Linked DNA regions of Xenopus tropicalis. The protein of the gene in region 2 interacts with the protein of the main gene of each other region in a pairwise test. Links are inferred from orthologs where the notes say so. Each region holds a gene or a part of one and is shown on either strand. Other genes may lie near its edges. The genes, in order: rassf1, lats2 and map3k5.

Region 1 (2,772 bases), on a different chromosome or scaffold from region 2:
AATAATATTGTCATTTGGAAAGTAGCGCGCCTTCTGAGGGTGCATTGGAAATAACCTGTATGTAGCAGGGGGCAGTGAAACACAAAAGCAGTGTGCAAGTTGCACACAGAGATCCTTCATGCACAGGGTGTGTGCCGCATTTCCTTCCTCTCGGCCTTCCGGGACTTGCTGTTCCCAGGACTTGGAACAAGAACACTCCCCACCTTATCCCAAACCCTGCAGGTCTGGGTAGGAGCAGGCTTCTCATAAAGTACCGGATGAGCCCTTCTCCAGCCTCTTTCCTCCCCTTCGCTCCCCACCTTTCCAGTACCAGCCTGATGCAACGCTGACTAAACTGGGAGATTTAGGGAGGGAGGGGAGGGAGACAGGAGGAGGACATCATAGACAAACCGATTACAGGAATAAGTGCAAAGAGGAAGTCACAGCTCCATTTTGTCTTTAGTGCCTTTGTAGGATAGTTATTTGCCTCTGGATGTGGTTTTACAAGGCAGAATTAATGAGCCAGTAATGCACCCACAGCTTCTACAGGGTCTGCTTGGAGCCAGATGTTTTCATTAGGCATGCCTAGGGCTAGTTTATATATTAGAGAGAGCAAGATTGTTGCAATATACATGCAGGCCCTTTGTCTGACTGAGGCAGATGGATCTTACTCCTTTTTGAGTGTATTTTAACATTCATCCTATAGGCCACTGCCACTTCTGGGCTGAGGTACAAAATGGGCCATGGCATTTCATGGGCAGAAAGGTCCAAACAGCCCCACACAAGCCCAATACTAAGCACCAATCTGTGGCAACTCACAGCAGCCCCACAGGGGCTTTTGGGTAAAGAGTAACAAAACCTGCCTGATGTCTAGCGCCCTGATTGCTCTGAGCTTTCAACGTGGCCATAGATTACAAGATCTTGCCAAACAAGGGGATCTTTCCCCAATATGCCCACCTAAGGTGGGTGATATTGGGCTAATTAGATTGTTTGGCTATAGGCCAGAGATAGGAGCAGTCGGAGCGAGGAACACATCAATGAGCCAACGCAGTCCCCAGTCTGTCTAAAAAATCAAACTTTGCCGATCAACACCTGGCCAATTTTTAACCAGATATTGATCGGGAAGGGCTGTCGGGGGTCCCCAGATATGCTGCCAAATCGGTCTAAAGGACTCGAATCTGCAGTTCAAATCTGCCTGTGTATGGCACCTTAAGAAAAGACGTATTACTAACTAGAAAGGAAGCTGAGTCACATGAGAAACAGGAAATGAACATCTGCGTTTTGGTGCCAAAAGTGATTATTTTTCAAGATTTTTCCAATTCTGCTCTGTTTTAAACAGTATTACACAATGTCTTCTATCACTTTTTTTTTCATCAATTTGTAGTTTTTATTTACTGGTATCAGTTCGGAATTGTTCTAGAGCACTGATCCACAGCAACCAGTCAGTCTAGTGCAGTTAGAATAATACATTGTCTGGTTGCTATGGGTTACTGTTCTGGTACAATTGGAACTGTCTTTGTAAATTATCCTTTTCAGTTTGTTCTTTGTGACCTAAAGGCATTTCTTCTGACCCTATTAGATGTTTGTTGCTTCTGTTTTTGTTCTAGTAAAGGGTAGCAGATGAGCCCCCAGGATATCACTGCTGGCTTAAAGAGGTTGTTCACCTTTAAATTAACTTTTAGTATCATGCAGAGAGTGCTATTTTGAGACAATTTGGAATTGGTTTTCATTTTTTATTATTTTCAGTTTTTGATTTATTTAGCTTTTTGTTCAGCAGCTCTCCAGTTTGGAAATTCAGGAGCTATCTGGTTGCTGGGGTCCAATTTAACCTGGTAGCCAGGCAGTGGTTTAGAGGAGAGACAGAAATATGAATAGGGAAGAGCCTAAATAGAAAGACAAGTCATAGAAAGTAACAATAACAATAAAATTGTAGCCTCACAGAGCAATTGCTGTTGGCATCAGTGGCCCCCATTGGAAAGCTGGAAAAAGAGAAAGTCAAATCATTCAAAAACTTTAACAAATAAAAAATGAAGACTAACTGAAAAGTTTCCAAGAAAGGACCATTCTGTAACATACTACAAGTTAACTACCTTTTTAATGGAAATTCCGTTGGGCTCCTTCGCTCACTGCAGCACAGCTATTTGCCTGCCTGTAGTGCAAGGCTGTGCTGCCTCTCCATTTGCAGGTAGATTTGTGTTGTGGGGAAGGTGCTGCTCTATTGAAATCAGTTTTTCTGACTTTTGACCCTCCCTAATCCTTAAGCTTAAGGTTTTCAACATTAAATGGTTTATGTAATATGTGGTTTCTTTTTCTTACAGGACGAAAAGCCAGAAAAGCAGCCGCAGGCCCTGAGCAAGGCAGAGCTAGAACAGAAAATAAAGGCTTATAATTCTCAGATAAAGAGCAATCTCTTCATGAGTCTGGTACGTTATGAGTAATGCACAGACAGAATCCTCTCCTGTCTGTGATGCTGGTATGTGTGAATTCAGTAAGCACTCAGGGCAGGAATATTGTATTACTTGGCCCTCACATTTATTGGCTTTCACCAGTCACGTTTTGTAGTTTGAGTGCTCCGTAAGCCCCTCCAAGATGTTGCCTCCCTTTGTTCACTATGACCCCATTATAATTTATGTACCTTGAGCCCCTCTCTCTGTGTGACCGTATGTGTGACGAAGGGAAACCCTTTCCATTACAGAATCACTTGTGACACATATTGTATGGCTACTAAGAGAAGATTATACCTTGACAGACTGGTGACTGGGAGAAGAATGGATTGGCAAATAATATAACTGA
Region 2 (4,265 bases):
CAACCAAACTGAGTTGATTATTCTCTGTTCACACATGAGAGATTATCTCAGCTGACCCACACATATGGAAGGTGCCTGCTTTATTGTGATACCTCAGAACAAATACCAGACTTTCCCAAAACTGAACGACTGGCCCATGCGTGTCAGCCTTCAGTCACCAAAAAGATTGCAACAGCTGCAGTGAAATGGAACTTCAGCAATGTCTTATCACAAGCATTACAGAGGCAATGTACACACAGTCTCAAGGTTAACAACTCCCTTATAGCCAAGCTGTAGCAGATATAGAGCATTTCGCCCATCAGGCAGCAAATAGTTAAACAACAAGAGTTTGTAGGATATCTTATCAACTAACTAACCTGCATTGTACAAGTGCACACAAGTGTAGGAACTACAATAGCCCATACAGTGGTGTCTGAAATTTTGCAAACCATTTTGCCCTAATACTAGATAATGAGAATCCCATTAAACAAATTAGTCAAAAACATAATGTGTGTTCATTTATCTCTTGAGAAAAAGGACCCTATGTTACATTTTGTGTAGGGCACAACTATGTGAACCTTTGTTTTTAATAAATGGTGTGCCCCCATTGGGCAGCAATGACTACCACTAAATATTTCCGAGAGCTGATGATCAGTCCTGCAAATCAGTTTTTGGGAATTTTAGCCCATTCCTGAAATCAGAACAACCTCAACTCAGGGATGTTGTCAGGCTTCCTCGCATAGACTGCCTGCTTCCGAATTTTCCACAACATTTCTACAGGATTAATATCAGGACTTTGACTTGGCTGTTCCAAAACATAAACTTTCTTCTGTTCATCCATTCTTTGGTGGACTTTGTTTTTAGGTTCAAATTTGCTGGTAGAATTCCTTTTTGCATAGCAGTGGTTTCTCCTTGCAACCCTGCCATGCACACCATTGTTTTGATAGTGGACCCATGAATATTGACATCGGCCAATGCCAGAGACTACTTTAGTTCATTATAGGCCATTTTTATTTCTTTAGATCTCCCAAAATGCTTGCTGTTGTTGTGACTTTTGTTTGCCACCATTTGTACATGACCTGCCTGACTGATGGAGTCCAAATTCTCTATAATTAGTTTTTCAACCTTTTCCAGCCTGAGCAATAACAAGTGATTTTTGGAGGTCCTCAGAAATCTTTTTTGTTTCAGCCATGATACATGTCTCTTGCATTGGCGGATTTGCAGGACTTCTACAAACTTTTGTTGCAAAGATCAGACTTGGATAGTGAGGAGCCGGATTTCCGTTATGTAATTAACGCCGGGCATCCCACGCTCAAACCTGATTATCATCCCATTGATTGAAACACCTGACTCTCATGCATTTGGCATTTGTAAGTGCATAAAAAATGTAAGTAACTAATTAATTGGGTGCAAGTTAGTTCCACGTGCAAGCAAACACGCCTGCAAGCACTATCTCCTCAAGGCAAGTGAGAGGTGGCAGAGGCTAGTACAAAGGGGTGTGTATTCAACAAAATACCTTTGTGGATTTCAATTTTGAGCTTTGACTTTATGTTTAGAAATGAGACCAGATTTTCACATACCTGTTAAATGGAAATAGTGAGCACATTAGGCATGAGATGGAAAGAGAACACACATAGACAAGACTAAATAGCCTCTTAGTGGGTTCTCTGACCAATGACCCCCTTGTAACAAAGTCTCTGACCAAGGAGCCTATGTAAGTTTACTACTCTGCACTGGGCCCCTCTGAAGGTTTTTGCAGGGGGGTTGGGGGCAGCACAGAGTAGTTACACCACTGCATGTGGTGCTCCAAAGGATTTTTATGGTCCCCAGGCTCCATAGACTTCACTTCACATAGACTCTACCAGATATAATTGGCCCACTACTTGTAATAAGACAGCACTGCCTTAGAGGGTCATATAATTAGTCCAAACAGTGTATAGAGTGATATTATAGCTGCTGGCAGGGGAGAGGGGGGGTTACTAAGCAAAGCCATATAGCAACCTGTTTTTTCAGAGGGCACTGAGACGCGTCATTACAATAACAAGATAGCCACAGGGAGCTATTATGATAGTTTACAGTCCATATGGATAGGTGTGACAGCATTGGGGTAGAAAGGGTTAATGTACTCAATTAAGGATGCTGGGGGTGGTAAAGAGATACTGACACCAAAAAATTAACCCCTTTTTACATCTATCATAGCATTGTCTGTATGTTAGTTATAATTTTAGCTTTCCAATTGGTCCTTATTTATTTTTTATACTTTTTAAATGATGTGCCTTCTTCTGACTCTTTCTAACTTTCAAATGGGGGTCACTGACCCCAGCAGTTACTTTTTATTACTTATTTTTCTGTTTAGGTCCATCTTCTATAAACATATTAGTCTCTGGTCAAACCACTCCTTGTGCTGCTCAGTAATTGAAACCCTAGCAGTGTCAGTATCACGTTAATAGATGGGCTGGCGCAAATGGGCTGTGAAGACGCTAAAGCTGAGGGTTGGAAGGGTTACAGAAGGCAGAATGGTGCTGTAGAGGTGAATGGTAGAAGGATAAAGCGCACAGCCATCAGGCGGCCTCTGTGGTAACTTTGAGAGCTCAGCACAGAACAAGTTAATCGCGCCACAGGCCGGAGAGAGGGAAAGCGAAGGATTCCCGGGGCCACGCCCCCTCACACACCGGCCAATCCCCGCTTCTCCACGTCGATGACGCAGGCAGGGGCTCCCACGTGACCGCAATGGAATGCAAACAATGCGGCGGGCGCCCAAGTCCAACCCGCTACATTCTATCGGCGGCGGCGGCGGGGACGGGCGGAGAGCGGAACCGTCTGTTGGCTTGCACCGAGCGGAACTCCGGTAAACTGACTAGTGCTAGAGCTGCGGGTGTTGGGGGGAGGGCGCTGGGGTCCGGGGGAACAAGCTAATGACACGTATTGTCCGTGCGCGTCCGACCCCGAATGTTCCCTCAGGAGCAGTGACAGCATGGCCCTAGCCCCCGCCAAGGCTCCCTACCACTTCCCTACCCTATGCCCTGTGCTTTGCAACTTTTCCATTGGGCTTCATAGTGAATTGTTATAGTTCTGACACTATTTACCCCTCTGCCTCCATGTGCTTGGGTTAGTTAGTTAGGGGTCTCAGACCCTAGCAACCACAAATATCTGTTGCTCTGTGAGGCTACACCGTTATTGGTACTTATATCTCTGTTTGAAGCCGGCCATCCAAGTTCAGATTTTAGCCTTCTTCTGATGAACGTTTAGATATCGATCGTATGTTTAAATGCAACGAACTAATGTTAGGGCTGAAATTGTAAGTTAAAGCCCTAAAAATATCAAATCAGAGGAATTTCTGAACATGAAATAGTTGTCAGACACCAATGGTAGGAAAGTGACCCCCCCCCAAGCGCGCCGTCACATACACCCCAAGCGCGCCGTCACATACACCCCAAGCGCGCCGTCACATACACCCCAAGCGCGCCGTCACATACACCCCAAGCGCGCCGTCACATACACCCCAAGCGCGCCGTCACATACACCCCAAGCGCGCCGTCACATACACCCCAAGCGCGCCGTCACATACACCCCAAGCGCGCCGTCACATACACCCCAAGCGCGCCGTCACATACACCCCAAGCGCGCCGTCACATACTCCCCAAGCGCGCCGTCACATACACCCCAAGCACTAACATTTTCTAACCTGTCCAATCGACTAAACGACTGATCACCTCGGTATTATTGGGATCATTTGGAGCCCACATACAGTCCAAAAATCAAACTACATTTACGCTTATATCACTGCATTATGGGCAGCTTTAGCCTTTCCTCTTCCACTCTGTCATTCACACCACTGCCTGGTTGCTAAGGCAAATTGGAGCCTAGCAACCAGATAGCTTCTAAAAATTCAAATCTGGAAAGCTGCTGAAGAAAAAGGTAAATAGCAAAAAAAAAAGGACCAATTGCAAATTATCTCTGCATATCACCATCTATGTTAGTGATGCCCAACCAGTGGTATTGCTCACCATCTCCTTTGTTGTTCCCAGTCTCCAGTGCCCATTTTAAAATCTCTGGCTTGGAGACAAGTTTTGGAAGCACAGTCACAGTTTTTTCCCAAGCAGAACCCCCTATCTCTGCATTACAATATGTATTCTTGCACCATGTTGTGCCACACAAGTTTTTTTGTTTGTGCAGCCTCAAAGGGCAAGGTCCTTTAAATAGTGAGAAGGATAGCTGCATGGCAGGGCTGCTGCTTTTTTTTCCAGGTTGAACATAAAGACAATCCCATGATTACCAGGAAATAC
Region 3 (3,657 bases), on a different chromosome or scaffold from region 2:
CGACCTAGCTGCTCATTGGTTCCTATCGTACAGTGCATTGTGCTGAGTGCTGCCAACTCCCCTGCAAAGCCTGGCAAAGGAGGCAGCAAGAAGTGGCACAGATGGGTGTGACTAGTAGGGTTTTGGGGGAATTTAAGTCCGAAACACAACTTTTTAAACCACATTCCTTCAACATTTAGAATAGTGTAATGCACTGGCACATACTTGTTTTTCATACAATATGTCTGCTTTAACAATGACTTTTTTTTCAGTTCGACTATGAGTATGATGAAAATGGGGACAGAGTGGTTCTCGGTAAAGGGAAACATGGAGTGGTATATGCAGGAAGAGACTTGAGTAACCAGGTCAGAATTGCAATTAAAGAAGTTCCAGAGAGAGATGGTCGGTAAGTACAGGATTTTGTATATGTGAGCCAGCTGACTGTTTAAATATATATATTGTATATGTGTGTGTATGTATTGTGTATATTTCAAAAAGGCTACTATATTTGACTACTTTTAAATATTCCTTTATATGCCCATCTTTCATGGACAGTTATTCAAAAAGTTCTAATTATTCTCTTTAGATGCTCTCAACCACTTCATGAAGAGATTGCTTTGCATAAACGTCTAAAGCATAAAAACATTGTTCAGTATTTGGGATCATTCAGTAAAGGTGGTTTCATTAAAATATTTATGGAACAAGTACCTGGAGGTATGTTTTTTTACACCCTTTCTTAAAAACTTACCCATTAATACTGTTAACTCTTTCTTGGCTATCAAGATATGTTGTTGGTTCAGTTCCTTTTTTGTCTTTCTCCACAGATGTCAATGTATAAAAAATAAGTAATTACACATCAAGCTGTATTTGTCCTTTTCATTTCTAGAAGGTCCAAGTTTTGTACCCCTTTTACTAGTTTATAATTGTTATAACATTTGCATTGGTTTAAATCCACATACTTCACCTCTGCCATAAATTTCTAACTTGCAGGTGACTGTTAAAATCGAATTGATTATTGGTTGCTATGGGCAACATCACGGGTGATGTTAGCTTACATACTATAATAAATATGCCCCTTAATCTTAATGGCTATTACCTGTGTAGTAAATTCTGTACATCTGTAGCTCATGCTTGTAGTTTCTATTAACTAAAGGTCCATATCAACATTTCCCTGAAAATACCAAGACAATGCCACAAAATGCCTTTGTAGGAATGACCTTGGTTACACTGAATACATGCCATTCTCTCCAAACACAATAAGAAATAATAACCAAAGCAATTTTTTATTTTTTCATGTCTAGGTGTGGATGTACATTGACGTGAATATGTCCCACCACGATTGTTTGAATAAGGAATCTTTTTTTTAATTTCTTTAACTTAAGCTCTAGCCTTGGTAACTCAGATCACACATTCTGATTGGGGGGGGGGGGGGGGAGTAGTTCTTATGAATTCTTGTTGGAAGGGGGAGCAGGAGAAGGGAGAGAGGAGTGAACTGCACAGATTCCGGCCCCAGGAATGAAGGATTTTTCTAAAAGAGAAAGTCTGACACAGAAGAACATGTGTACACAAAAAAAAGACAAGACATCCTGTATTTCTTTTGATTGAGGACTCCGTGCAGTTTTTCTATGAGTGCTTATAGCTGTATTTACATAAACCTTTCTTATAAAGCTTAATTTGGTTAATTACAGGAAGCCTCTCCGCACTTCTAAGGTCAAAATGGGGACCCTTGAAAGACAATGAGCAGACAATCGGATTTTATACCAAACAGATCCTTGAAGGTTTGAAATATCTCCATGATAACCAGATAGTTCATAGAGATATCAAGGTATGTGCAGTTATGTATGCAATATCATATCTTGTGTGAAGAGAAAAACTGTAGGTAGTTGTGACGGTTGTGACAGATTGCTTTCTATTGTTAAGAATGACTTGGGCCTGGGCATGTACTATAGCTGTCCTTTGTGTGCCCATTTACACCCACACACTACCCCACGTGAATCCTTCATGCATACCCTGTGCCTCAATACCAGCTCTTTGCTTCCTACTCTATACCCCTTTTGCCCCTTAACATGTTTTAATTTTCAACCATGTATACTCTGCCTCGTGCATTACCTTTGCCACACACCCTGTACACTTTTTGCTCCCATTATTTCTGTACACCATCTTCCTGTATCCTGTGCACCATGTGTATCCTGCATGAATCTTTTGTGTATCCATTTTTCATGTGCATATTTTGTTTCTACCCTTGTGTACATTTTGAATTCTGTGTGCCATGTGCACCCTCTTCCCCCCTGTACATCTTTGCCCCCTATACTTTGTATTCTATGTACACCATTTCTCTCATCTACTCTGTGCTTTATTATAGAAATTTCAACCCCAAATCCTGTGACCTATGTACACCTGTTGTATCTACCCTTTACCTCAAAGTTTTGCTGCCTGTGCAAGATATCTAATTTTGCCTTCCATCATGTCTGTGTGCTTTCTTGCCCTTTGTACATCCAATATGCTGCCTAGTGCACCTTTGACTTTCAAACTTTTTTGCCCTTCCTGTTTGAACCTTTCCCACAGTCACATGTGCAACTTATGCACCTGTACACCTTCCGTCCCAGTATCTTTTACAGCCTCATATTATATGACCCATGTGAAACCATATTCACCACATGCAATTTTGCCTTTCACCATGTGTTTGTTGTGTACACTATGCCTCTTTTACATCAAATGCTTCATGTCAATCTTTTGACGTGTCCATTTTCATCCTATTTACCATATGCCCTATACTTTGTGCCCCACTCTGTGGTTTACTTGTAATTTATTGTTAAACTTGTGCCTCTTGTGTATTGTATATAGCTTATTATTTAACAATAAATTCCATTTTAAACTGTAAACTTATCAAAAACATGGTTAGGTTTGTCTATGAAGATTTTCATTCATCCATGTCATGGTATATCTAGTATAAATAAATCTAATGCAACTGGACTCGTTAGGTAATCAATTCAATGATTACCTAACAAGTCCAGTTGCTTTAGATTTGTTTATACTAGATATGGTTAGGTTTATTAGCACATACCCCAGACCTTACAGTTTGGGGAGCACATATCCAGCAGAATTTAAAAAAAAAACAGACACACTGGAACTCTTTATAGAAAAAAGGGCATACATTGTATTTTTAAAATGGTCAAATACAAAGAAACAGCCATACGTGTTTTGTGTCTTAAAGTGGGCCTTAATTATCATGTCAAACAACCTTTTCTTACTTGCTTTAATGATGTGCCGGTCAGTGAATGTTGCACATGATGTGGTCATCTTGGATTTTTAAAAACCTCTAAGTACAATACCACAAAAATGTTTGCTTTCTAAACTCAAGTCTGTTGACCTTAGAAGTGTTATTCAGATGGATCAGGCACTGGATAACTATTAAGTTCAGAGAAGATATGTCATTGTTACATTCTCTAATTGGACAAGGGTTCTAAGTGGTGTTCTGTACTGAATTCCTTCTCAAGACTAGTAATATGGATATGTACCAGAAGCACTTGTCTAGACTTTAACTATTTTTGGAAAAATTGGCAGTTGAGATTGCATATTGATAAATTCAAGAATGGAATTTTAAAATATGCCGGCTACTATTAATGGTGCTAAGGTGGAAGATGTATGGAGGAGCAGGAGGATGGTGTATTAATAAAT

The links.
Region 1: the proteins of lats2 (region 2) and rassf1 come close enough for resonance energy transfer, tested with the Homo sapiens proteins (2 studies listed by BioGRID). The link is inferred for Xenopus tropicalis from reciprocal best matches to the Homo sapiens genes LATS2 and RASSF1.
Region 3: the proteins of lats2 (region 2) and map3k5 come close enough for resonance energy transfer, tested with the Homo sapiens proteins (2 studies listed by BioGRID, with this or other methods). The link is inferred for Xenopus tropicalis from reciprocal best matches to the Homo sapiens genes LATS2 and MAP3K5.

What each region holds. Positions count from the first base shown.
Region 1 is NC_030680.2:127,214,055-127,216,826, reverse strand, and holds part of rassf1 (ras association domain-containing protein 1), read left to right. Parts: intron 1-2,297; coding exon 2,298-2,402; intron 2,403-2,772. UniProt on the Homo sapiens protein: Potential tumor suppressor. Required for death receptor-dependent apoptosis. Mediates activation of STK3/MST2 and STK4/MST1 during Fas-induced apoptosis by preventing their dephosphorylation.
Region 2 is NC_030678.2:157,780,669-157,784,933, forward strand, and holds the start of lats2 (serine/threonine-protein kinase LATS2), read left to right. Parts: upstream 1-1,407; 5' UTR 1,408-1,475; intron 1,476-2,506; exon of another isoform or gene 2,507-2,827; intron 2,828-4,265. UniProt on the Homo sapiens protein: Negative regulator of YAP1 in the Hippo signaling pathway that plays a pivotal role in organ size control and tumor suppression by restricting proliferation and promoting apoptosis.
Region 3 is NC_030681.2:58,924,726-58,928,382, reverse strand, and holds part of map3k5 (mitogen-activated protein kinase kinase kinase 5), read left to right. Parts: intron 1-251; coding exon 252-385; intron 386-565; coding exon 566-693; intron 694-1,667; coding exon 1,668-1,804; intron 1,805-3,657. UniProt on the Homo sapiens protein: Serine/threonine kinase which acts as an essential component of the MAP kinase signal transduction pathway. Plays an important role in the cascades of cellular responses evoked by changes in the environment.